Linked DNA regions of Coturnix japonica. The protein of the gene in region 5 purifies or fractionates together with the protein of the main gene of each other region. This does not show direct contact. Links are inferred from orthologs where the notes say so. Each region holds a gene or a part of one and is shown on either strand. Other genes may lie near its edges.

Evidence for each region.
Region 1: the proteins of AURKA (region 5) and PPP6C purify together in Homo sapiens (affinity purification with mass spectrometry; 4 studies listed by BioGRID and IntAct, with this or other methods). This does not show direct contact. The link is inferred for Coturnix japonica from reciprocal best matches to the Homo sapiens genes AURKA and PPP6C.
Region 2: the proteins of AURKA (region 5) and FBXW7 purify together in Homo sapiens (affinity purification with western blotting; 5 studies listed by BioGRID). This does not show direct contact. The link is inferred for Coturnix japonica from reciprocal best matches to the Homo sapiens genes AURKA and FBXW7.
Region 3: the proteins of AURKA (region 5) and DICER1 purify together in Homo sapiens (affinity purification with mass spectrometry; 4 studies listed by BioGRID and IntAct, counting the BioPlex papers as one, with this or other methods). This does not show direct contact. The link is inferred for Coturnix japonica from reciprocal best matches to the Homo sapiens genes AURKA and DICER1.
Region 4: the proteins of AURKA (region 5) and ARFGAP1 purify together in Homo sapiens (affinity purification with mass spectrometry; 3 studies listed by BioGRID and IntAct, counting the BioPlex papers as one, with this or other methods). This does not show direct contact. The link is inferred for Coturnix japonica from reciprocal best matches to the Homo sapiens genes AURKA and ARFGAP1.
Region 6: the proteins of AURKA (region 5) and MTMR3 purify together in Homo sapiens (affinity purification with mass spectrometry; 3 studies listed by BioGRID and IntAct, counting the BioPlex papers as one, with this or other methods). This does not show direct contact. The link is inferred for Coturnix japonica from reciprocal best matches to the Homo sapiens genes AURKA and MTMR3.
Region 7: the proteins of AURKA (region 5) and PPP6R2 purify together in Homo sapiens (affinity purification with mass spectrometry; 4 studies listed by BioGRID and IntAct, counting the BioPlex papers as one, with this or other methods). This does not show direct contact. The link is inferred for Coturnix japonica from reciprocal best matches to the Homo sapiens genes AURKA and PPP6R2.

Annotation. Positions count from the first base shown.
Region 1 is NC_029532.1:8,073,149-8,077,302, forward strand, and holds the start of PPP6C (serine/threonine-protein phosphatase 6 catalytic subunit), read right to left. Parts: upstream 2,801-4,154; 5' UTR 2,741-2,800; coding exon 2,666-2,740; intron 2,456-2,665; coding exon 2,360-2,455; intron 2,274-2,359; coding exon 2,208-2,273; intron 1,902-2,207; coding exon 1,760-1,901; intron 881-1,759; coding exon 801-880; intron 660-800; coding exon 450-659; intron 1-449. Other genes in the region: RABEPK (rab9 effector protein with kelch motifs), read left to right, coding at 2,906-2,964, 3,040-3,185, 3,285-3,437, 3,558-3,719, 4,081-4,154.
Region 2 is NC_029519.1:29,730,621-29,734,120, forward strand, and holds part of FBXW7 (F-box/WD repeat-containing protein 7), read right to left. Parts: intron 1,808-3,500; coding exon 1,597-1,807; intron 609-1,596; coding exon 340-608; 3' UTR 1-339. UniProt on the Homo sapiens protein: Substrate recognition component of a SCF (SKP1-CUL1-F-box protein) E3 ubiquitin-protein ligase complex which mediates the ubiquitination and subsequent proteasomal degradation of target proteins.
Region 3 is NC_029520.1:41,567,211-41,570,710, forward strand, and holds part of DICER1 (endoribonuclease Dicer), read right to left. Parts: intron 1,018-3,500; coding exon 135-1,017; intron 1-134. UniProt on the Homo sapiens protein: Double-stranded RNA (dsRNA) endoribonuclease playing a central role in short dsRNA-mediated post-transcriptional gene silencing.
Region 4 is NC_029535.1:7,887,193-7,890,549, reverse strand, and holds part of ARFGAP1 (ADP-ribosylation factor GTPase-activating protein 1), read right to left. Parts: intron 3,007-3,357; coding exon 2,947-3,006; intron 1,852-2,946; coding exon 1,775-1,851; intron 1,327-1,774; coding exon 972-1,326; 3' UTR 1-971. UniProt on the Homo sapiens protein: GTPase-activating protein (GAP) for the ADP ribosylation factor 1 (ARF1). Involved in membrane trafficking and /or vesicle transport.
Region 5 is NC_029535.1:10,854,595-10,858,725, forward strand, and holds the start of AURKA (aurora kinase A), read left to right. Parts: upstream 1-1,331; 5' UTR 1,332-1,441; exon of another isoform or gene 1,442-1,450; intron 1,451-1,649; exon of another isoform or gene 1,650-1,736; intron 1,737-1,988; 5' UTR 1,989-2,019; coding exon 2,020-2,073; intron 2,074-2,942; coding exon 2,943-3,228; intron 3,229-3,805; coding exon 3,806-3,884; intron 3,885-4,131. Other genes in the region: CSTF1 (cleavage stimulation factor subunit 1), read right to left, coding at 1-93, 677-805. UniProt on the Homo sapiens protein: Mitotic serine/threonine kinase that contributes to the regulation of cell cycle progression.
Region 6 is NC_029530.1:9,814,988-9,819,045, reverse strand, and holds the start of MTMR3 (myotubularin-related protein 3), read left to right. Parts: upstream 1-1,258; 5' UTR 1,259-1,509; intron 1,510-1,963; exon of another isoform or gene 1,964-2,007; intron 2,008-4,058. UniProt on the Homo sapiens protein: Lipid phosphatase that specifically dephosphorylates the D-3 position of phosphatidylinositol 3-phosphate and phosphatidylinositol 3,5-bisphosphate, generating phosphatidylinositol and phosphatidylinositol 5-phosphate.
Region 7 is NC_029516.1:601,906-605,405, forward strand, and holds part of PPP6R2 (serine/threonine-protein phosphatase 6 regulatory subunit 2), read left to right. Parts: intron 1-422; coding exon 423-536; intron 537-1,497; coding exon 1,498-1,624; intron 1,625-2,814; coding exon 2,815-2,967; intron 2,968-3,201; coding exon 3,202-3,405; intron 3,406-3,500. UniProt on the Homo sapiens protein: Regulatory subunit of protein phosphatase 6 (PP6). May function as a scaffolding PP6 subunit. Involved in the PP6-mediated dephosphorylation of NFKBIE opposing its degradation in response to TNF-alpha.

The DNA.
Region 1 (4,154 bases), on a different chromosome or scaffold from region 5:
GCCTGCACTGCCCACGCCTTTCAATCCCTCCTGAATATGCTGCAGAGGAGCAGAGAACAACACACTGCATGAGGCAGGGATTCATCTTAGGGCCGGTTCAGAAGCCTGGGAAGTTCAGTGGGTCTGAGCCTCTTACTATGTTGCAAAGTAACAAAAATTAAGTCAAAGCTAGTATTTCTTCTTCCAAATCATTAGACAAGTATTCTACACAAAGCCTAGTAATTCTAGTTAGTCTCACTGCATTACACTTTTTAAACACAAGGTGTGCATTATCTCACTTGGCACTTTATGAGGGGAAAAGAGTATGTCACGAGAAAACCTCCCTCACCTCCACACCAACTCAGTCCCCTCACAAGGGAAGTTCCTTAATCCACTCGTCACTACAGTAAAGTCAAACACTTCATCTCACACCTGCAATTATGGGACGCAGCACAGGACGGCATCGTTACCTCATTTGTCACCTTAGCACCAAACAGCCAACCCGCCCCTCGCGGACTGATGGCCCACGTATCCACATCTTCTGGATCAGACCAAACCAGGTCACAGAAGGCGCCTTTATGAGGAATTTCTTGATTACGTTCAATGGTGCGAATCTGATCGAGTGTCTTGATGTCCGGAGACAATCCACCGTGCACACAGAGAATCTGCTCATCTATTAGCTGGAGAGAAAAAGGAACACAAAGAATGCTCAGTATTTCAACCAAACCAAGAACCTCTCCAGCACCACCCTCACCACCACCAATTCTTCAAGTTATATTTAGACAATCTACCTGTATCTTTTTTAAGGTGTTTACACTTACAGCTGCTATTGTGAGCATGTCAAAGACTTTGGTGCAGTATCTCCAAGCATTAGCATTTCCGTATTTGGTTTGGCACTCATCTGTTAAATAGAGAATTTTTTTCTTCTTAACAGACCAGAAGGAATTCAGGCAATATGATCAGAGTCAAACAGAACAGAACCTAAAAAGGCAGATGTAAACCAAAAAGCAAACAGACAAATAAAAAACAGCTGGGAGCAACCGGTGAGCACTGGCTGGAAAGCACTGCTCACTGCTTCTGTGGTCCACCAGCAGGGAGAGAACCTCAGTATCTACTGCTGTGTCTTCAGCAACAGACAGAGGAAAAAGCAACACGACAGACAGCACCTCAGCATCTTCCCACCACTGACTGCCTGGGAACAGCCCCCCTGCTCACCCAGCAGTGTTTATACTCTACATTTCATGCAAGAGAAGTGAGGCAGAAACAGTGAACCCATCAGGGCTAATTAGAGACCTTTTCACTACAAATAAGTGTTACAGTAGCTTTGTTTGTAGCTATACAAACACATCAATAAAACTGATGGACAAATTTTACTTTGGAGCTTCACGAGGCTTACAAATGTTTATATATGCTCTTGTTGACACACTATATCATGTTATCCAGAAGAAAGCAAATTACAGCCTATATATGACAATGCTTTTCTCAGTTATACCTAAAGAGAATTATGTAGAATCTTTTATTTAAAGATACCAAAGCATATCATCAAAAAATGCAAAGAAAAACTGAGATGCTGGAGGAAAAGATGGTCTGGAGATGGACTAAAACGCTTTTACTTCTTGAACACAACAGTGTTAAATAACATTTGAGACCGTTTCCCACCCAGTTCAAGTAAAGCCCCACTTAACAGTGCACACACAAAGCCGATTTCAAAAGGGAAATAGGAGGTAGTTGTTGATGGCATGCTGGCCCCCATTCAGAAATCACTTGGGTAAAGTCTTACCATAGAATCCATACACTTGTGTTATCTGCCTGCTTTCATGATTGCCTCGTAACAGCGTGATACGATCGGGCCATTTAGCTTTTAGTGCCAGAAGGTAAGTGAAAGTCTCAAGACTATAGTAACCTCTATCTACAAAATCGCCCTGCAAAGTCAAAACAGAATTATGAATGAAGAAACAGCAAAAAGGAGAAATGCAAAGTGACACATCCACCTTTAACTCCTCATTGCACAAAGGAACCTGACGCTGAAGGGAGCCAAGCGGTGAGAACGAGCTCAGCTCCCCAGCAATGGTTCACTCACCCCTGCACGGGACGCCCGGCTCTGCCCGCCCTGCAGCCGGGGGCAGCACAGGGGTGGGAGGGCAGAGCGCTGCCACCAGGGCCGGCACCCAGCGCAGAACCGGGACCAACACGGCGCGAGGAGCAAAGCGGCACCGGCACGTACATACCATGAAGATGTAGTTGGTGTCGGGCACCTGCCCGCCGGTCCGGAACAGCTCGCACAGGTCATAGAACTGCGGGAAGGGGCACGAGTCAGCGCGGGCGGCGGCACCGGGCACCGCGGGGCGTCCCGGCCGAGCAGCGCGGCGTGTCCCGTTACCTGCCCGTGGATGTCCCCGCACACGGTGACGGGCGTGGAGACGGGCTGCACGTTGGACTCCTCCAGCAGCAGGTCGCACACGTAGTCACACAGGCGCTGCGGGAACACGGCGGGTAGCGCCACCAGCAGCGCCGGGGTGTGCACCAGCACCACCAACAGCACCGGACAGTATCGCTATCGCTATCGCTATCGCCATCGCCATCGCTATCACTATCGCTATCACTATCGCTATCGCCATCGCTACTACAACCACCGGCACCGTCCACCGCCGCCCGTCCGACCCCGCCCCCCCCCGCCCGGTCCCACCTTGAGGTCGTTCTCGGGCAGGTACTTGCAGAGCCGAGCGATCTCCACGTACTTGTCCAGGTCCAGCGGCGCCATCTTGGGACGGCAGCTCGGAGCCGGAAACGGAGCTCTCCACTTCCGGGAAGCGGCGCGAGACTCGGACGCCAGCGGAACTTCCGCGAACTTCCGGCCGCGCACCGGAAGTTGGCGGCGGCCGGAGCCGTGTGGGGCGGGCGGAGCTCGGCCCGGCCCGGTCCCGCCATGGGGCCGCTGCTGCCGCCGCTGCTGGAGCCGGGCAGCCGCCCGCGGGCGGGCAAGTGGTGAGCGGGGGGCGGGGCGGCGCGGTCCCGGCCGGCTCTCGGCCTCGGCTGAGCGCCGCCCGTCGCTTCCCGCAGGTACCGGCTGGCCCCGCGCGGTGAATGGCCCCGCGGGCGCGTGGGTCACGGCTGCGTGCTGGTACCGGGCGGGTCGGGCCGCGTGCTGCTCCTGGGCGGCGCCGACCCCGCGGGCGCTTTCGCGGACGCGCACTTCGTGGAGCTGGGTGAGGGTCGGGTCGGACCGGGCGGAGCCGCTGCCGTTCCCCGTTAACAGCCCCCGCTGCCGCCGCCGTTCCCCGCTAACGGCCCCGCCCCGCCCGCAGACACACACCGCTGGGCCCCGGCTGCCTGGAGCGGGCTGCGGCCGCGCTACGAGCACGCCACGTTCCTGCCCGCCCGCCTTCCGACGCGACTCTGGGTGTTCGGCGGCGCGCACCCGGCCGGGAACCGGAGCTGCGTCCAAGTGCTGGACCCCGGTGAGTGCCGGCACCTCGTCGGATGCCGGACCTCGGTGGAGCGGGTGTCGGGCCGGGCCGGCGGTGCGGAGCGGCCCTTCAGACCTCGTGTATGCTTTATTAATTGAATGTCTTAATTAGAAATAGGAACCTGGGAGAGTCCCGAGGTGACGGGTGTTCCGCCACTGCCCAGGACATTCCACACCTCCTCAGCAGCTCTAGGGACCTGTCTGTACGTCTTCGGAGGTGGAGACAAAGGAGCGGAGCCGGTTAAAGACCAGCAGCTTCATGTCTTTGACACAGGTACCTGAGTGTGTCGTGAGCTGTACCGGCACTGGAAGTAACCGCCCGCTGTTCTGAAGTTCTGCCTCCCAGATCTCATCAGCCTTGGCTGCGAGTTTCAATGGAGGGCTGAAGGTTGCTGAGGGCTGAAGGTTGCTGCTGACATGTGCTCACCTCTGTATTGCAATGGGGAACTTGGGCCAAAGTGGCAGTATAATGATTTGGGACAGGAAATGCTGTGAGACTTCTCATGACCTGTTGGTATTATTCTGTCTGTTCCTATAGTCCTGCATACCCCAGGAGGGAACCCCAGCGAGACTCGGGGGCTGCTGGTTTGTAGAGCTGACAGTTTTCCTCATACACACACATTCCCATTTTTCAGATGCTTTGACATGGACCCAGCCTGGCACCCACGGTGACCCCCCTTCTCCTCGGCACGGACATGTCATAGTTGCA
Region 2 (3,500 bases), on a different chromosome or scaffold from region 5:
ACCTGGTTTCATTTCAGAAGTTTTGCAAAGCTGCCCCGGTCGAAGGTGTTGCCATTTTATGTGACGAGACAGCGAATGCCTCTCTTGTCAGTTAGAGTTTGTTATCGTTGTCTTCTCCTTCGTAGTCTGTAGGTCTTTAGGATCTGTTGCCCCAAGCCAACATCCTGCACCACCAAGGACAAGGGATTTTTTTTTTCCTTTTTCTTTTTTTTTTTTTTTTTTTTTTTTTTTTTTTTTTTTTTTTTTTTTTTTTTTTTTTTCTTCTTTTATTTTTTTTTCTCAGGGCGAGGGAAAGGAGAACATCGCCTACACGTTTGGACAAATTCATCTTTCTGCCCTTCACTTCATATCCACGTCAAAGTCCAACACCAGCAGCTTTGTTTCCTCAGTCCCGTTCCGGCTCCCAACGGCACACACCAGCTTTGTGTTGGAAGCTCTGATCCGCCACACGACGCCTCCGCTTCCCCCGCTCTCCAATGTAACTAGATTTCGGATAAATTCACCCGTTTTCAAGTCCCAAAGTTTTACAGTCCCATCATCTGAGCTGGTAATTACAAAGTTCTTGTTGAACTGTAAACAGGTCACAGCGCTCTGATGCTTGTTGGGACCTAGAAGAGCAAACCAGAACATTTTTGTTTCTAACGGGAAAGCAGTGACAGACAGCGCTGTATATAATGTAAATACCCATCCACTTGAGCACAGCTGTTTCTCTTAGATGTGTTATCCCTGTTTTTGTGCTTTAAAAGGTACAGAACCTTGCCTTCTGTTTTCAAAGCGTGAAATTCCCCCAAAATACTTCTTTGTTACAGTGATCTTGTTTTGTTGCATACGCACAGCAGGACAAGTGCATACTTGGAAATTCATGAGAATGAACTTAGCCATGCAGAAATGAGGTGACCACAATGCATGTTTTTCTCCAAGTCCCTTTGAAGTGTTATTATGGGATTACTCTACCAGTAAGTACTGAGGGACATACAGATACATATAAACTGTTAAAACAGCAGCCTGCTTTTCCAGTGAAGTTTAACTTTCTGCTGCAGCCAGCATTGCTGGATATGATAAATGACTTTTTCTGAAGAGGGAACAAAATAACATGCTGGTGTGCATGATGCGTCAGTGGCAACTGTAAAAATGGAAACCAAAATCTTTCTTCTCACTGAGAAAGTGAAAACATCTTCCACTCTCTTCCAATCTTTTCTTTTGATTTATTGCAATAGACAGTGTGCTTTTGCCTCCCAATCCAATTAATCAGTAGGCTCTGAAACATCCAAGTGACCCCTAAATAAAACGTTGACTGGCTGTTTTGAGATGTCATTTCCTACATATTTCTGTGGCTTATTAGGCTAATACACTCATTGCAAATTTCTCTCGGTTCAGGCCATCTGCCTTTCATAATAGGCAAGTGATTTGAATAGATTAGATGAAATTCCTCTAATTCAGAGGAAGATCATACAGCTGTCATCAGAAAAATGATATTTAAGTTGTAAATGGTCCACGATTGTTTCTTTGTATGAAATGGTTAGAAGGTTTTATATAGGATCTGCAGCACAGATTACTGCAGGCAGCTTGATTTCTATCATGGTAGTTTAAGCTCACCTTGCAATGTCTGTAAACATTGTCCTGTTTTAATGTCCCAGATTTTGACTGTAGAATCAGCGTTCCCAGACACAAGTATATTGTCCTTAAGTTCCATTCCACTTGTCAAAGACTGGTGGCCTGTGAGTGTGTGAATGCAGTTTCCGGTCTCCACATCCCAAACTCGGATGGACGTGTCAAGAGATCCACTCACCACATGGATACCATCGAACTACAAGAAAGGTAAATCTGTTATAAACGATTATATTAGGATCTTACAATGCTCTCTATGAAGGCGGGGCTATTAAGCATTTAATTCACTAAAGTTAACATTAGGTATGTGTAATATATTTGGAAATTGCATTTCAGTCTTCATAGATATATGGCTGTGCTTGATACAGGAGCTGGTGATTCATGGCAGTGTCATTTCCAGTTGTGAACACAACCTATGGGGTACTCAGCCTGAAGAGGAGGGCACTGGACCACTGGTCTTTCAAATAAAATACAACTCTTAAAAAGAACAGAATCCTGTCTGCTGCAGCATACAGCACTAAGAGGCTGTTGTTGTCCTAATAAATAAGTTAACAGCCAAACCTGCTTTTCCACAAGTCAGAGGGACTTTAAGCTGGAGAAAAGAAATAACAGACATAAAAACAATACAGGAAAATAGAAGGAAAGAAATTGAAAAATGCTGGGTCAAACATTTTGTCGGCGTAATCATGTGCAACAAGGAACTTTTTAACTTCCTACTCACTGCTGGGAAAAGTAGATATGCTGACTCAGATGTTCAGATTCTGGATTTTCTGGGCATGTACCAAGATACAAAGTAAAAATATGTAGAAGATGAACACACAGAGAAATCAGCGAAGAGATTGGATACTTCTGACCAAGAGATGAAACATGTAGAGGATATGGAGATGAAAAGTAACCTGAGTGAGAGCGATGACGCCATGAGTCAGGGTTCCCACAAAAGGAAGGAAAAAGAGTGGAAGAATAAAAACAGAGGGCTTCAAGGAGGAATACTTAATAAACTGAGACTTCCTTCCCATGAGGTTTTTATGCATCTCTAAGGAGAAGAAGAGTTCAGGAGAGCTGGCACCTTCTTAGAGAAACAAACTATCCTTGTTTGAGGGAAAGATAGGAAATGCAGTAAATTACCAAGACCTACTTGGTTGAAGTATAGGGAATTGTATAAAAGAAGAAATGAGATCAACAGAAGTGTACAAAGGAGTACGCTGGGACAAAATCAGAAAAGCAGAGCGCAAAACAAGACGGAACTAACAAGAGCTGTCACAGATGGTAAAAAGGCCATTTTGGTTAATTAATTAAAAAAAAAAAAAAAAAAAAAAAAGGAAGGAAGGAGAAAAGATTTTTTAGAAGCTTGTTTAAGCTGATTGAGAAGAGAAAGAAACACCAGATGAGGCTATTTAAGGCTATTTAAGTTTTCTTTTTGCTTCAGTCCTCAGCCATCTGAGTGTAGGCTAACACCAGTGACAACTGATACGAACTTCCACTAGAATGGAGAAAATGCACACGTACAGCAAAGTTGTTTGAAGACAATCCTAGAGACATCTGATGCTATTTTGAGATGTCATGGAAGACAGACAAGGCTTCAGATGGCAGGTACCATTTCTCTCTTTATTCAAGGATGGGAGACTGGAGAATTGTGGATTGGTCAGCATAACTTTAATTTGCAGAATAAACTAACAAATAATACTTGGTGCAGGGACACTATCAGTTCAGTTCACAATGTAGTTCACAGACAATTTAGACATATCAGTAAGAGCTCTGGGTGTCTCGCACTTAGTATTTTCATTAGGATTAGTGGGACATTCCAAATGGTAGAACCTGACGCAAAGTGAAGCATGTAAAAGAGAGAGTTATGAAGATCTGAGCTTGGCCAAGAATACATAAGGGTAAAACTG
Region 3 (3,500 bases), on a different chromosome or scaffold from region 5:
CCTTTTATTTAAAAAAAAATAAAAATATGAATAATCATTAAGATATAGCTTCAACAAGTACTCCCCTTCTAAATCAGATTACCTATCTTACATTTATTATGCAAGAGAAAACACTTTTCATTAAGGGAACTTACCAGTAATGGTATTATAATGGTACGAGGCATGAGTAAATGCCTGAAGAAGATACGCCTTGTTCTTAAAACTGTAATTAATTTTCTTCTCAAAGTTTTCAAAACCAGAAATAAGGTGATTCAGGGTTTTTTCAGCATCTGGGTGATCAAACATACACCTTGGTGGGATCTTCAAACAACCATACTCCAGGTCTTTATAAAGAGAAGGCTCTGAATTAACTATACAAGTAGAAACAGAGTTTGGTGAAAGATTCTTCAGCTCACTGTTACAGTTCTCTCCAGTCGCACACAGAGTGCTTTCCCAATCAGTCTTTTTAATAACAGGGAGCACCTTCAGCCCCAGTGAACACAGGAAAAGCTGAGCAGCTCTTTCACCACAGCTGGTCAGGTAGCAGCCCAACAGGGCTTCCACACAGTCTGCAATGCTTTTGTCAGCAATACACTGCTCTGTATGCAAATCATATGAGATTGACTGCTTTCCTGCATCAACACCACAGTTTTCTTCTGATGGATTCCAGAAGCCGACTACAAAATCATCCTCTTCAACAGCCTTGCTAGGATCCAAATAGCACATAGCATCCCAAGAGCTATAGTCAAAATCATCAAAATCTGATGAAAACGGAACGTTACCCAGGGATGACTTTTTGGGTGCTTTCCATTCATAGTTTGAATCAGTGGTTGAAAAATGAGAGAGAGAAATTTTCTTCACAAAAGCCCCCGATCCCATTAACATGCTATCTATGAATTTGATATGCTCTTGATCATACTCCAAAAAATCATCTTCAAAGTCTGTTTCTTCCTTGGGCAACCTCCACATTAGGTCTTCATCTTCTTCATCATCATCATCATAGTCAAGTTTACCATTAGCCAACAAATTCTCCTTTGTCTATGAAAGAACACACAAAAAAAAAATCATGCTACTGAAGAGGAAAATAGTATTTTATTCTATAATTGTCATAAGAATAGGATATGAGTAGTATATGCTAATAAGCCTGACTTTTTTAGTTGATAGTATATTGTCTAATCAGATACACAATATAACCTCAATTAATACTAGCATTCTAAGTCTAGAATAATTGTCTTGGAATACACTACTACAGGTTAAGTAATAAAGGTTTTGTATGTTTTACATACCACACATGGTATGTTTCATAGGAACTCATGCTGATATTTTTATTCAGTGCACACAAAACTGACTTATAAAAAAACACTAAGTGCATATTTGTATGTTGAAAACTAAACAGCCTCTTAAACTCTAAGCGCTCCAATAATCATTACATAAAGCAGCAAAATATATTTATTTATGCTCTCAAATACAGTTGAGTTGCAAATAACTTGTAGTCTACTCAGCAAACGAATTAAAATTTAGTCAGAGTAGGCAATTCTTATAGACCAAAAGAAGAGTCTAATAACAGATTGGCAAGAATTAAATGCACGTGTGGGACACTGTTCTAATCGTCTGTGATAGGAGTTCAGTAAGTGATCTGCTTAGAAGCAGAAGAAAAACAAATTAATAACATGTAATTTTAACACATATGAAACCTCTCCAGCTTCTCAAATGTTTTGCATCACCAAGACTACAATAGAGAATGTCTAAGAATGGAAAAGCAGATAAATGACACAGTTACGCAACACAGAATTTTGTTTGGTACTTAACAGCAACCTGCACATTAAATCATTATATAGAATAATGATGCAGTGCAAAGGCAACCAGTATTAATCCTATTCTTTAGGCAAGTGCATAGCTTTTTTTTTTTTTTTTTTTTGCAGACTATACCCGTAACTTGTTTAATTAAATTTACATTTGTCACCGTTTTTAATACATAATCATATATCCACAACAATAAAAGTAATGATGTCTCATATCTTTTCTCTCCTCACATGGAACAAATTGGTGCATGCTGAAGTAAATTGTAAATTGAACACAGATATGTCCAAGAGATACGATGCTGTACAATTTGCTGTGGCCCCAATCCAGGAAAGCACTTTAACATATTAACTAAATGCATAAGTAGCCGTTCCTATATCAAAAGGACTATTCACAGGCTCAACCCAGCATCACTGATGTCAATGGGAATTCTGCCACTGAATTTGATCGGAGCAAGATCAGATTCAAAGTGCTTTTCTGGATTGGATCTTGAAAGCCAACACCATTTTGAATCAAGTGAAACAGCCTATATCTGCCCTCAATCTATGTATGGTATGCTGTAGTCTGTATCTGCCCCCAGTCTATGTATGTAGTCTATAGCTGTAGTCTCAGCTATCTAATCTTGCGAATCTGTGAACCAGATGCTAAAAACTGGGGACCCCTCTATTTGGGCCAAATATACAAGTCCTGAGAGCTGTGGATGTTCAGCTATAGGGTGCACCCACCAGGAAACCCCTGAAACCACCCACTGACCAACTGGATCAGAACGTTCCTCAACATAATGTGACAGCCCTAGCCAGGTCTAGGAAAGGCGGTGGAACAGAGAGGGAATGGCTATAGAAACTCACAACCCAGCTATATTTTACCAAAAAAGTTCTGCTGTTGTAAATACCCATTTCATGTGTCCAAAGCAGGGATTTCACTAACTTTAATTGTTCAGTGAAAATTGCAACGTTTGAATAAGTATTTATTCTAGACACTAGTAGCAGTGCAAGTTTTCTAACCACCTAGAACTAGAGCTAACTTCTTATCAAATATCACCTGTCCCACCTGCCATTAAAACACAAATGAGAAGCGTTCATTTAAGAGTTCAGTGACCGTCCTTGCAAATATTTATAAAACGATAAACTGCATTTTTTTGCTGCAATTTCATTCACAAGTTAAATAACTCTAAGAAACAGGACAGCTAAGTAACCTACCCTAACACCGCCTGCACATTGCCTCTCACACTACAAAAACAGAAAAAAAGAAAAAAATTAAGTGATGAGAATGCTTGGTAATTAAATGAGTCAGGATATAATTCTGACAGTTGTTTTTTCATTAGTTCAGAAATAATAAGAAAATTAACCCCGAAAGAGATTATTATTATTTTTTTTCTTAAAGAACATAAAATTAACTTCGAATAAGTTATGACCACAAGCTAAATAAAACTACATTGTTGGTTTTTTCCTCCTTGCTGTTTGGAAATTTGCTATTTGATAAATTAAAACCATTCTGCTACAGGAAATATCTTAATGTTTGATAACGTAATAATACCAACTTTTATTAGGATGTTTCAACAATAATTTGTCATAGTGAAATGAGATTTCTAGATCCATAGATAAACAATGAGATTTAAATCTAAGATCACGAGGAATCTAGTCTGCCACTTGGCATATAAAACTCTTTATTTTGGTCTGAAATTGATAATTTTGGTTTACAAACAAATAGGGAAAGAAGAA
Region 4 (3,357 bases), about 3.0 Mb from region 5:
CATATTTTCCATGCATTTTTTCTTACTGGAATCTTTTTACTAACTCATTTCACTGCTGAGTTGCCAAACAGATGTCCAGAAGGCCATAAGCAGCAGGAAGATCTCATTTTTGTCAGTATAGATAACACAGATAGGTATAAGAAAAAAAAGATAAAAAAATAAAACAAAGCAGACCCTACAAAATACTTAGAGCGGGAGAAGGGTAAAGGCAAAGAAGGAGGACAGACAGCACTGCATCACATCTGTGTAAGAGAGCTGCTATTCTTGCTTGATGGGTTAAGAATTTACACAGTGCACAAGGAGCCATTCTGAATATCCCTTGATAGCTCAGGCTGCCAAAATGATGAGTGGGAACAGATAATCGTCTACCTCCAGACTCCTGATTAATTCTAAGGGGAGAAAATAAATCTAAAAATCTCACAAAGATTAAAAACAAAGCTCCAATAAAAAGTACCTTACAGACCAGTTTGAATTGCCAGACCTCGTACAGTCACAGCAATCCATAAGGCATTTCAGCTGGATCTACTCAACTGCAGCTTGTTCGTTTAAAGGCTGCCTTTTCAAGATACAGCCTGTTCTTTATTTGTGTTAAACATCTCTGGTCATCTCAAATAATATGAAGGCTGGATGAATACCTATGAGCTTACACATGCAAGACTATGGCATTAAAACGTGCTCGTGTCTTTCAGATCGCTCTTAAAGTCAGTGTACCCAGCCTCAGTAGTGCAAGGAGAAGATATATTTCTCACTACCCATAAAAACGAGAGAACCATCTTCATGTAATAAAAGATTCAGACACTACTTGTTTTTTCTTCCTAGACTGGGGCAGAAGGAAAACAAATGGAAAAAGCACAGAAAGTAACACATCAGTAAAGTCAACCAAGATACTCCAGATGGGTGCAAAACTTTCTCCTCTCAATCAGCCAGTGTGGTCTCCCTTTCCTAGCTGCACCAAAACAAAGTTAACAGTTCTACCAGTCATCCCACTTATCATCAGCTGAAGATGCCTTTTTTGTTGCCTTAGAAGGTTTTTTGGCCTTGCTCTCCCCTCCTGTGTTTTCCCAGTTGGTCTCCCAGTTTTCCCAACTGTCGCTGTTACTGTTCTTGTTGTTGGAGACTGTTCCTGAGCCCCACACGTCCCAGCTATCGGAGCTCTTCTTCTCTGTGGAATTGTCCACATAGGTCCAGCTCTCACTGCTTGGAGATTTATGAGCTTTCGGTGGCTCTGAGTTGCCAAAGGTCTCCCAGAAGCTTTGATCTACAGCATTGTTCTGGTAGCCCTCCTCTCCACTGTTCTGGTAGCTGCATCCCTCAGCTGGTCTGTTACTGGCAAGGCAAGGAGAAAGAAGAAGGGAGAAATAAATTAGTTATAACAAACACAACAATAAACAGGAACGACCACAAGGAAAACAATAATGTTACGCTTTGCTGAAACAAAAACAAAAGGCAAAAGAATTTGATGCATTTCTCAGAACAGCACTATTTATTCTTCTAATTCAAATGTAGTGCTAACAGTCTACAATACAAAGACATTGATGCATTTGGCATCACTTAAACATCAAGGTGCAGAGCACTACTTTGCTCTCAGACTGAGAACAGCTTTATGGGCCCCCAAACTACTTTAGAGAAGGACTACTTGCAATTTTATCCCCCCAAAGACAGAATAATTTCTTCACATTTACAAAGAATATCTGGTACTCTGCACTGCAGAGAACACGGAGGGGACAAAATGAGGTGTTTAAAGAGACAGAAAATAATAACAAAAAAGAAATACCTTTCAGAATGATCATCTGGTTTCCCAGAAAAGAAAGTGGTGACATCTCGCCATCCCTTACTCCCAACTCCCTGAACCTAGGCAGAAAGAACACACTTCTCATCTGGACTGAGCCAACATAACCCATTCTCCCACTTGTTCAGATACAGATAACACACTATGAAAAATTTCACTACACTGATTAAAATTAACACTTTTGATGAGCAATTTCTAGTTGATCCAAAGGAAAGGCGTTTAACAACCCCACTCTGCTGGATGAGAAGTACATAAAGTTCAGCATTTTAATCTACTTCTTTAAGAAAGGGCTTTTGTATGTATTGCCTTCTAGAACTCCGTAACAAAAATGTTGGGAATACTCACGTGAAACTGAATTTAATGACAGCACTACTCTTTGGATGCTTCACATGACTAGTATTGACATCTCTAATACTTAATACACTGCTTTCACTCATTCTTACTAGTATTATTCATGCGAACAGGACAAATGTTGAGTTCTAGAGCAAGTATGGCTAACTGACCACTCTCAGGGTTATTATTTTGGACTGGCATTTAGTTAGAAACACAAGTGACACCTATGGAAGTCACTATTCTAAGTCACAGACATGGAGGAGGAACCCCAGAACTCAGATTTCAAGTTGCCAGGCTTTAAGCAGACCAAGTAACACAAAACTTGCTTTATTCAAATATTCCCAGCACTTCAGGCACTGAGCTGTTATATGATAAGATCTGAAGCACTTAATAGACAAACAAACCCTCCTAAGTAACACTGATTCTGCAAGACTTCTGCACCTAGCAGGCACAGAGAGCACTTACCACAAAACCAAGCAACGATTGCAAAAGAAGACAAAGAAAAAGGTATGCAACGTTAGTTAAGTTCAACCACACAAACACAATGCAAGCTGTCTCCATATTCTCCAGCAGAGGTTTTCTTTGTGTGTTCAGGACATTGGTTGTCTCACAGCCCTACAACGTGCCCTCAGTGAAGCCATTAAAGGACTGCATCAAAGCTGTAGAGCTCTTTTAGTACCCCAAATACTGCAGGTTGGAAATTGCATTTCTATTCACCGCAAGTAGAGACTAAAGAAGTTTAGTGGTCATTCAAAGTGCTGTATAAGAATATGGAGACTGGCTTACTGCTTGGCCTCCTCCAAGGGAAGCAGGCCCCTCCATACCTTGCTGGCCAACTGCGATACCCCCACGGTGACCTCCTCAAAAATTTTCCCCTCTTTCACCTAATGAATCAAAGTATTGGTCATTAGTCACCGAAAAGGGCACTGCTGAAGCCTTAAGACAAGTTTTCTTGTGGTATCAGCTAGTAACAAGAAATGAACGAGCACAAAAACCTGACGTGAATCACAGTAACCCTAAGTCAGGGCTAACAAGTTTAAGATACGAATAATAACCCATTAAGATAATACAAAATCCATTGGTCTCCAGTGGAACAGATCTCAGCCCTTTGAAATACAATGAAATGCTCTATGGGCAAACAGAACCTGAGGAAAGCAGTGTTACACTAACACTGAAAAACAAAAAAAACTAAAAGCACTAAAAACAAAGACACTCCCCCAAAGTTTTGCCCTAAA
Region 5 (4,131 bases):
TAAAGGAGGAGGCGGCGGCGGCGGCCGAGACCGAAGAACGCTCCTCCGCGAGGGCTGCTGCATCGAGCGCCCGCACATCGATTGGAGCCGACTCTTAGGGGAGAGAACGGCGGCGTCACGTCACCGGTGACGCGTTAAGGACGCGACGGGCCGCTCTAACAGGACCCCTGCCTTGTTAAAGGACCCCCCGCCCGGTGGGGAAGGGGCGGGCTGCAGAGCGGAGCCCAGCGGGGATCCCGGGATCCAACGCCCCCTCCACCGTGGCTCGGACCCGGTTGCAGCCCGTGGGGTGACGTGTCGGGCAGGGCACAGCCTCGAGCAGGCCCAGGCGGCCCGTAGACACACAGAATGACCCGGGTTGGAAGGGACCTCAAGGATCACGTAGTTCCAACCCCCCTGCCTGGCAGGGCCACCAAACATACACCTTTACTAGATCAGGTTGCCCAGTACCGCCCCGTGCTGCCCATCGGAGCGTAGAGCTGCTATGAGCACCGCAGCTGGGGGCTGCGAGTCTGTGTTTGGGCTACAATACCCGCACGGTGCTGCCGGACACCGCAACACCTGCCATGGGGCACCACGGCACACAGGCCTCACGAGTGTTTAGGGCCGCCAGCTCAGCCAGCTCAGCCCCTTCCATGTCCCACCGCCACCCAACCCACAGCCCCGTGCTACTCACGTCAGCCTCCAGAAACGGCAGCCGTAGCGGCCGCGGGTCGAGCAGCGGAGCTGCCATGCTCCCCATACTCCCCATGCCCCGCGGCAGCTGCCGTCGGTCACACGCTGCAGCCACGCGACGACCGGACATCTTCTTTTTCCCTATGGTGTCCCGCTTGTCGACACCAACACACCGGGACCGCCCTCGAGCCGGGTCGTTAAGGACGCGGAGCCGCTGATAAGTTGCCTTCAATACCTTCAATCGCTTCTTCAGGCAGCGGGTCCCTCAGTGCTGTGAGACAGAGCAGCACCACGAGCCGCTCCGCAATGCACGAGCAGCACCGGGCGCTGTGCAGCCAACAGCCGGGCGTCCCCTCGTGCTGAGCTGGGTTGGTGCCCCCTTAAGGCTCGTTAAGGGCACGTGGAGCAGCGCCGTGCGAAGCTGAGGCCTGATGCTCCTCCTGCTGCTGCCCGTCGCACCTCAGCACACAATGGCCCCCAGCTCCCACTCGGCTTCACGCGAGGTGGCAGCGCCGCGTCTCCCTCAGCCCCAGGTGACGCTGAGGAGGATCGAGGTGTGAGCCCGGCTGGATGCAGCACTAACCTGGAGCCCTTCACCCCCGAGGCCTCGTTGAGCGGGAGTTGTAGCGCTGCCACAGGTGGGTGGGCTGGACGTAACGCGATTTGCGTAACGAGAGACCGCGGCCGGGCTGAGACTTACGGAGAGAAAGTGTGTGAGCTCGATCCACGCACTTGGAGTACGGAAGAAACAAGCGGCGGACAGACGGTACGTAAAGTACGTATGTAACGTAAACGCCGCCCAAAGGGTGGGCGGGTCGGGACGACGCGGGTACGCAGCGGGCCGCCGTTGCGCATGCGCACCGCAAGCTCACGGCGACGAGTCTAGGCCTCGCGACGAGCGGGGAGTCAGGAGAGCCAATGGGAAGGCAGGTAGACTGAAAAGCGGCCAATCGGAGGGCGCGGATGCCAGGAGAGGAGCCAATGGCGAGGGGGCGGAATTTTAAAGGCTATTTAAGGGAGGGAGGTTTGAATTCAAACAGTTGTAGCGGCCGCGGGCCGAGGTGAGTGTGGGGACGGCTGGGCCGGGTCGGGCCTCGCGTGGTGCTGTGCTGTGGCCTTACCTGCGGCCTTACCTGCCTCGAGGGCGGCCCAGCCGGCGTGTGGTGTGGGTACGGCCCGGCCGTTACGGAGCTGGGGCGGGCAGGCCTAGGGGGAGGCCTAAAGTGAGGCCTAGGGGGCAAAGGGAGAGCAGCACGTCCGAGGAGTGGCGCTGCTTGGAGGCTCAGCCCTGTTCTCTGTTTCATTCTCCATAGGTGAAAGTGTATCTTGCTTTTCTCGGGCACTATGGACAAGAAGATAAAAGAGAACTGTCCTGGGAACCCTTCTCGTGTTATTAAGGTGAGAGGCTTATCGAGTTGATGGGGGTGACTGAGCTTCTGGCTGCTGTTATTAACATCCAATTATTTAATTGGGAAGTCCTAGTAGTGCAGTTTTTATCCCTAATCAACTAATAAGACAGCAAAAACATACAGGCTGTGACTTGCAAAGGACGTGCTGCCTGAATGTTGTATATCTTTGTGCATGCCTTAAGATTACATATCTTTGTATACAGAAGCACGGACATTCTTTTCTTCTAATTTAAGTATAAACAGGTCCTTGTCAGGTTTTAAAGTAGTAGAAGCATGGTTTAAAATCAGCTTTCAATGCATTGGATCAAAAAAAAAAGGAGAATATAAGTCTTCCTAGAGAGTGAAGGCATCAGTAACAGATCATTAGCATTTGAATTTAATTCTAGAGCAACTAAGCATTACTTAAATATTAGTTTAAATTTCCTTCCTCGACTGAAAGAAAAGGATTAAAAGTAGGTAAAGGAACTATCCTAAACTTGGCTTTGTTCTGATGAACTCCTGTAGTAGCGCAAGGCATCTTAAAATACACATCACTCAAGGGAACAGTGACTCAAAGCATTGTATGTGAACAGGATTCCTATAGTAAAGGCTGGTCTGAGCTTTCCACTGTTATCTACACTTTGGTGGCTCTGTGTCTAGTTATGAATAAGTATGTTGTTAATAAGACAGTAGTTTTCTACAAGTCAATTCAATTCTTAAAAAATAAGATCAGAGTAATTTTAACATCTTCTTTTAATATACTGGTTTTTTTTCTCCTCCCTATCTTTTTCTGCAACCTGTACCTAACACTGTTGTACAGGGACATAAAGGTTATAGTGTTCTATTCTATTACTAATGTGCAGTTGTTGTTTTTTGAAGGCAGCGAATCCAGTTGTGGATGGCCCAAAACGTGTCCCTGTGTCTCAGAGTTCTGCCCAGAGCCAGCCACTGAACAGTGGAGTTCAACTGCAACGTGTTCTGTGTCCTGCAAATTTTGCCCAGCGAGTTCCTGTACAATCACAAAAAAATTCTTCACTGTCAAACCAAAAACTGTCTAACAATCAGACAACACAGCAGCCCCGACCAAAACTTCCAGTCCAGCCAACTGCTGGGCCTCAGGTTCCAAGCAAGAGCAGTGAAAAACCTCAACAAGCTCCTGGACCTGGTAATTCCAAAGATGATACATTTCTGTGTTTGTGACACTCAGGAGAATTCAAACAAGAGTGCAGGACAGAAAATGTAAAGCTCACACTAACGACATGTTGGACAGTCCTGTAGAAGAATAGATGGTTGCACCCAGAAAGAGAAAAGCAGCACATACTTCATCTTAGATATTACTGTACTGTCCTTGTTGCTAGAGTTAAGGATTTAGAGGAGCTAATAGAAGTGTTCCTCCAGTCTTGAAAATTTACAGATGCTCATTAGTCAACTTTGAATACATGCAATTGGTATCCCTGCATCATGTTTTTTTCCAGTGTTCATGGTAATCTGATACACAAGAACACTGTATGAGCAGGAGGGAGAAGACTTCTTAATGTTTTCATGAGTTTCAAAAAAGCATTTGAAGTTACACTTTGATAAAGTAGCTCTAACTGCTTTGCTGCTTTGCCACTGGTAAGCTATGCTAGGTTTTAAATACAGAGGATAGACAGTAAATTGCTGTAGATACTACCCAGACTTATTCCTTGTGAATGTTTTGCATTCGCTGGTGGTTTATAGTTGTTCTATTTGATTGTATACAGCAAAGAGTTCTGAAGCAGACAGTGTCTCTAAACAGAAAAGTGAAGAGCCTACTAAAAAGAAAAAGGAAGACACTAAAAAGTAAGTTGCGGGCCTTAAAAACTTACAGCTGTTAGTTGTGCTTTCAATGTCTAGCAGTTCATGCTACAACTGAGTTGCAGCCAAGCTGCTGCCTACTTAAGCCTCTTGATTGCTAAGAACAGTGGCCTTCATAGAGACAATGTTTATTAATGAAACTCTGGGAAGGGTTACTTTGCTTTGGTAATCTTTAGGAACAATAAATTACTTTAATCTGAAGGAAAGCTTTTGGCACAAAAAGGAGCAACTT
Region 6 (4,058 bases), on a different chromosome or scaffold from region 5:
CCAGCTTGCTCCCGTCCCTAAATGCAGAGGGAGCAACCAGCAGGTTACGCTGTACCGAAGCCCTGGGTCTCCAGGATTCAGTTTCCTGAAGTAGGTCACATTTGATCTCCTTCCAGGCACACTGCAGAGGTAACTGCTTAACAGGGAGCCTTCAAAAGTCATATTCTGCTTCCTAATGCTGCCAACACCTGCCCTTCAGAAATGCAGCCATACTGACAGAACAGTTTTTCATTGATTTTGGGTATAAACAGGCCAGGAATCCTGTTTTTCCCTTCAGTTACCTGTATTTCTCCTAAATTTCCCCAGAAGGTACATATTGACTTTCAGGCCGCATTTACATTCAGATGATGGCTTGTTGTTGGAAAAAGTCCCTTCAGAGGGGCTCATTAACTTCCTTTCAAATGTTTTCTGGCCCCAACCAAGGGAGCAAACTAGCAAACAACTCACCGTGTGGCTTCTATCTGAGCTTAAAGACACGGGATCCTGCATTTGTGTTGTTCGTTCTAATGCCACTTCCAGCTTCAGCACGGCTTAATGACAGACCGGAGCCCATCTGCTCCAATGACTAGCTTTGGACTCAGAGGGAGAGCCCTGAGGATAATTTAGGAGCACATTTTATAGTTAGTGTAACTTCATTCCAGACCAAGGCAAACATGAGCAGGTGGAAATATCTCTCAAAAGCACAACCTGACCTACATAGTGCACTGTAAATTAAAGAGACGTATAAAAATAAAGCATTGACAACCCAGCACGTTCGCAACAAGACCCAGATACGGGCCTGCAAGCGCTCCATGCCACCTGCACATGGCTGCCATTCTGCAGTGCCTTTAAGCCGATCTGCACTCTTGTTCCTTCTGCTTTATCACTTTTCTCCCCACTGCTGTGCACTTTCTGGCTCGCTGTTCTCCATTACTTCATGGAGGAGCTGCAAGCTGCTCAAGGCGATTTGTCCAGCACATTTACAGACAGCAAGGGGCCACATGAATCCTTGTAGCCAAGGCCCAAAATGGCACAGAAGCAATGGCAGCACACAGGCAATGGGTTTCCAGTTGGGTATGTAGCTCCAAGAGCTCCTGTGGGGTTAGGACCACCATGGCTCCCATCACCCCAAGGCAGCTGCAGTCACCTGGGGGGGCTCGGTTACCTCAGGGGTCACGGCCATCTTAGGGCTCCGACGTCACAACAGCACATCCAGCCAGCACTTAAAAGGCCCACAGGGTTATAAAGGGGGATAGAGACGAACTCCTCCCCTGTAGGAGGGCTGAGGGCCCGGCAGGAGGCGGCTCCCGGCCCCGTCACCTGACAGGAGGCGGCCGGCACCGCCCCGCTGGGGGGAGGCAGGCGGCGTCGGGAGCGCGCTCGTCTCGCCGTGCCCGCGTCCCGTGCGGCCGCCATGTTGTGCTGAAAAGCGGCGGCGGCGGCAGCCAGGAGCCCGGCGACCCCGGCCCAAGGCAGGACGCCGCGCCCCGGGACGGGGTGTGGGGGCTCCGCGCCATGCCTGGCCCCGAGGTGAGGAGCCGCTGAGGGTCCGTGAAGGGGTTCGGCGCCGCGTGGGGGGATGCGTTGGGCCGGGGCCTGGCGGAGGGCGGCCGGGCTGTCACGGAGGGCCGCGGCCCGGCACGCCCCCTCAGCTGGGGCGGCTGCGCTGCGCTCCCTCGGCCGGGGGCTCGGGGCTCGGTGCGGGGCTCCGTGTGGAGCTCGGTCTCCTCTTTCTCCCCACGGGGCCCGGCGGCCTCGGGAAGGTGACGGTGCAGGGCCGCGCCGGGCTCTGGCCGTGCCCCGTGGCCGCCTCTGTGTGCCCGTACCCCGCGTTGCCTGCTGTCCCGGCCCCGAGCTCAGCCCATATCGGTTGCGTACAGCTGCTTGGGTCTGTGCTCCCACTAACGAGGTTGTCAGGGCTTTTCTATTGCTTACGGTGCGTGGGGGCTTTAATCGAGCTTCTTCCCCGTGTTTTTCTTAACAGTCCCGTTCCTCTGGTGGGATTTGAACAGATGTTGCCCTTCTCTGGTGAGTACGGTTCCATGCCAACCCTCCTGACCCCAAACCGTGCTGAAGTTTCTGTGTTTTAAGGGAAGCTCAAGGTTTGCGTTGTAGTTGCGTTGTCCCTCCTTTTAGGGAATGCTGCTTTACCAACCTCAGATTCCTTTGCATCTCTCTGTAGAAGTAACTGATGATCATTATGGCCCTTTGCAACCCAGACCATTCCATGATTCCATGGCTGTTTCATTCCTTGCACCCCTCCCTTACTGGGTGAGGGCTGGGCACAAGCTTGTGCCTCGCACAGGCTGAACATCTGGTACCTGCTTCTCTCCTGTCTGTGCACTTCACCTGCCTGTTTTCTGGTGTGCTGAGCCCATGTTGCCATGTGCAGTGAAGCTTTTTCTTAGCAGAGTTTGTCTAGAGAATCACATGGAGTAGCATGGAGTGATGATTGACTTTATGGTGGGAATAAAAGACTATTTTAATTGCCCATTGACAGGGGATGGTTGTGTGACTGAGGGAGCTGTGGCAGGTTTTGTGCAATACCTGCCATGTTTGAAGCTTTAGATAAAGGGCTGAGGGTGCGTCTGGTCTGTTAGTAAAACCTGTTGTAGTACTGAAAATCCTTTGTGGTAGAGGATGAAGGGGAGCTTGTATGAGTGAGTTTATAGGTAGAGGAGATGTGACATCTAGTATCTGTGTTGCTTTGCATTAGTGATCATAGTGGTTTTTAGAAGACAGAACAAGTACTTTCTTTCGTAGTACAGGAAATGCTGTGAGCTCAGAGTGTTGAAATCATTGTCAGATAAGTAAAGGTGGGGCATAGGCTTCTGAAATGCTGCACTGAGAGGTTTCTCTGTGCTTGCTTTGGAGTTGGGGGAGAGGCAGGTGGGCAGGGAAAATGTTAAGCAGCAGGTTTGTTGGCAACTGTGCCCAAAGGTCTTTGAGTCCTAAAGATTATAGGAGTGATATCTTGAGACAAGTTAGTTTTCTGGCTGGTAGTATTATTGGTGCTTATTTAGGATTTTGCTAATGTCCTGCCATTAACTGTCTGAACTAGAAATTAGCCAAGTGTTAGCCTGCTTAAGAAACCATCGGCAAGGCCAGCTTGATAAGCTCTTGATTTTCCCATTAAAATGGCTGTCTGCACCAGAAGGAACCAGAAATGCAGCGTGTCCAAGCTCCTGAAGGTAGAGAGCACAGCACTTTATCTGAGATCTCGTTCCACCTACATGCTGTGCAGGGTGGTGGAGAGAAGTGTGTTGTCAGCCCTTCAGTAGTAGGAGATCTGAGCAGTGCTTGGCTGACAATTAATGTGTCCAAATGGAGTAACGTAAGGAGAAGAGTATCAGTGGGCTGCTGGAGAGCTGGGAAGGAGCCTGATAAATCTGCTGGAGTGCAAGGAAGGAGTCATTGTCTGTGGAGTGAATTGGAGGAGCTGGGTTAGCATCCAGCATGTGGGGTCTTTTCTGCTGTGGAAGATAAAAGGTTGTTCCTGTTCTGGTAGCTCTGCATGGGGTTGTGTAGCTGGGTATGATCATGGGACTCTTCTGTTTGGTGCTGGTTGTTTGTTAGAGCCTATGACTGCAAAGAGTACAACAGTGCTTATCAGTTACTGTGAGCTAGAATGGAAATCCCAAATAATTGAATGTGATCTTATTTCATAGCTACTTCTATTAACCAGATCAAATAATATGAATTGTTTCTTTCAGGATGAGCTTCCAAGCACTGAATTGTCTGTGCCTCTTTGCTGTAATGTACAACTGTTCTGCATGTGTACCCAGCTGAAGTAGCTGGTAAAGATCTGCCTATTAGGTCCCATATGGGTTTTATGTCTCTGGGACATGAGCTTCCTTTGTAATTCTATCCTTCTAGATATTAGTGCCATAACTTTCCAGTGCTTTTAGGAAAGCTTTGGGAATATGCCTAACGTGCAGATCATTCTTGTGATTAACGGAGGTTTTTAAAGACAGCTGTTCCTTTATCTTTGTGGAGCTGTGAGATCACAGGGTGACTGAGCAGTTTGCATGGAAGATATGAAAGGGAATTTAGTGCTAATTTAGGATTTGAAATACAGA
Region 7 (3,500 bases), on a different chromosome or scaffold from region 5:
TCACTTAAGACCACCGGGAGCCACGGTTGGAATCACACAGCCCTCGTGTTCATCCCGCCTTGATTTAATCACACACAGCAGATATAGCAGGGAGAAAAGTGGGGCCTTTGCCCTGTGTTTGTCATTTCAGGTGGCCTTTGAATGTCAAATTCATGTTTAAATGCTTGTAAAGTCCATTATTGTCATTCATTGTCACTCCAGCATTGGTCAGTACTGCACTTGGGGGTCTCAGCCCTCACACTGTTAGAGTTTGGAAGGCAGCTTCCCTTGCTTTAAAGGCTCAAAGAGGTGGTGAAAGGCTTCGGATCATTCAAGAAGGTGGAAGCTAAGACTTAATAACAAGAAAACCCAGAAATGGGTATTTTTATGATTAAAAGCAGCTGTTGAATGTGACTAATAACCCAAATGCGTCTGCCCGACAGGCAGGAATGTGTGGAGCAACTCCTGAAGAATATGTTTGATGGAGAGCAGACTGAGAACTGCATCGTGAATGGGACGCAGGTTCTGCTGACATTGCTGGAGACGAGGCGCTCTGGGTAAGTCAACACGCTTCGATCCTGAATAGAAGGGTTTTAGCTATTCAAATCTGGTTTGTAATGAAGGATATAGCAAAGGTGAAGGTCTGGGGAGGGAGATGCTGAGAATCTCGCTTTCTTCTTTTAAAGGAGGAAATAGGAAGAGTGAAGGAGGCGATGGGAGGTTGGGGAGGGTTAGAGGGAGGAACTGACAGGAGATGGTGTTGGGTCGTTGTTAGGCAGCTGTGCATGGTTCATAGAATGGCCTGGGTTGCAAAGGCCCACAATGATCATCCCATTCCAACCCCCTGCTATGTGCAGGGTCACCCACCAGGCTGCCCAGAGCCACGTCCAGCCTGGCTTTAAATGCCTGCAGGGCTGGGGCATCCACAACCTCCTTGGGCAACCAGTGCATCACCACCCTGGGTTATGGCTGAAAAGCTGAGATGCTGCATCTCCTGTGCCTTGTGCCCTGCATCTCCGAGGGCTAATGACTTCCAGATATAGAGGTGCCCGTGTAGGTTGTTGGTGCTTTGCTTCAGTGCAAGCATTTCTCTTATTCCAATGTGAGACTGTGCTGTTAGAAGGGTCTGCTGATAATGCACTGCTAACCAGCAGAGGTGTGAGCCCAACTGCCCCCTTAGTATTATAGTGCACTCATTAGTGGCTTTAACAAACATTCAGTGGCACAATTTACTCCTTAAACATCTGTAAAGCTGGTAAGCACTGTAGTAATTCATCTTTGTCAGCCCCGCAGACAGCTTCTCCTCTGCCTTCCCACTCATTCACAATTATGATGATGTGAATATCATCTTGCAATTAACATAATGAGATGATGATGTAGTTACCTTCCGTGGCTGTCAGTGATCGTTCTTCACGTTCAGAGTTCTCTTTCAAGAGGAAATAGCCGATATGGGCAGTGTGAGTGGAGACCTATATGAGGTTTGGCCAAGCCCTGATTTGCGTGTTTTCTTTGTTGCAGGGTGGAAGGACTGATGGACTCATACACTCAGGGATTTGAAAGGTCTTACACTGTCAATAGCAGCATCTTACACGGCATTGAACCCAGGCTAAAAGATTTCCACCAGCTGCTGCTCAGCCCTCCCAAGGTAACGTGGCTCAGCCTTCCCCAGGAGCAAACAGCTGCTGGATGGATGGGGGGGGATTCCTCATCCTTATTTATGGGTTTTGTGAGGACTTTCTGAAAGCACCAAGTGTTGGCAAGGCAAACTCTACCTTAAATCTTTACAAGAAGGATTCACGCTTCAGGTTTGTAATACGAGTGCTTAGGAAGTTCAGGCAAAGTGTGAGGTTTTGGCAATTTGGATGGAGGAATCCCAGGTATATATAGAGACTGGGAGGAGCAGAGCTTGAGAGCAGCCCTGCAGAGAAGGAGCTGGGGGTGCTGGTGGCTGGAGAACTGAGCAGCAGCCAGCAGGGTGCTATTACAGCTTGGAGAGCAAATGGCATCATGGGCTCCATCAGCAGAGGGTAGGGCCAGCAGGGACAGGGAGGGATTGTCCCTCTCTGCTCTGCCCCATCTGCAGCTCTGCATCCAGGTGTGGACCCCTAATGTCCCCAAGATGGACAGGGAGCTGTTGGGAAGGGTCCATTGGAAGCCACAAAGATGCTCAGAGGGCTGCAGCACCTCCCCTACAAAGACAGGCTAGGGAGCTGGGGTGTGTTTCAGCATGGAGAAGAGAAGGCTGCGGGGTGACCTCATTGCAGCCTGCCAGGACCTGAAGGGAGCCTACAGACAGGAGGGGAGTCAGCTCTTTGAATGGGGGGATAACAGCAGGACAAGGGGAAATGGTTTGGAGTGGAAGGAGGGAAGATTGAGGTTGGATGTGGGGGGATATTGTTGATAGAGAGTGTTGGGTGCTGGACCAGCTGCCAGAGAGGATGTGGATGCCCCGTCCATCCCTGGAGGTGTTTAGTGCCAGGTTGGATGGGGCCCTGGGCAGCCTGGGCTGCTGTTCATTGTGGAGGTTGGTGGCCCTGCATGTAGCGGGGGGTTGGAGCTTCATGATCCTTGTGGTCCCTTCCAACCCAACCATGCTGTGGGTGAGGGGGGCACAGAGGAGGGAACACAGAGTCAATGGGTGTTTTGATCTTATGTTTGGGAAGTTCAGACCTCACAGCGCTCTCAGGTCACTGCTGAGTGGGAAGACACCATAGTTTTGCCTGCATGGAGTATTTATGTCTGAAGATGAGATGGTTCTATTTAATCAACCAGTTGTATGTCTGCAATGGGGGATTCATTGACCTTCACTGAGGTTCTCCACCATTTCTCCTATAGAAAACAGCGATCCTGACCACAATTGGAGTCCTGGAGGAGCCGCTGGGCAACGCTCGTCTTCACGGCTCTCGCCTGATCGCTGCTCTGCTCCACACAAACACTCCCAGTATTAATCAGGAACTATGCAGACTCAGTACCATGGATTTATTACTTGTGAGTAACACTATGTGGCACTGCAGGGGGTGGGGGTGGGGAATGGCTTCAGGCTGAGAGTGTCTTCGCTTTCCCTGTTGGGCACAGTGTGGTTTGTGTGCAGGTCACGTTATGTCCATATCCTACTAAAGGATACCAAGCAATTAATAGGGCAATGTTCTGACATCATTTGATTGCCAGAAGTGGGATGATGGATCCAGAATGACTTTCTTCTTGTTTCTCTTTTTGTTCCAGGATTTATTTTTTAAATACACGTGGAATAACTTTTTGCATTTCCAAGTGGAATTGTCCATAGCAGCTATTCTCTCACACTCTGTGCAAGAGGGAAGAACTACTGCCAATGACCCAGAAAGCAGAGAAGAGGTGCTGAATGGAAACGTGACCACAGAGAACCAAGAAACTCCAGAGAACAACACGGAGAATATCATGGTTACACATGTGAGTCAGGTCACATCGGCAGGGAATTCAGAATCATAGAATGGCCCAGGTTGGAAGGGACCTCAAGGATAACAAAGCTCCAACAGCCCATCACA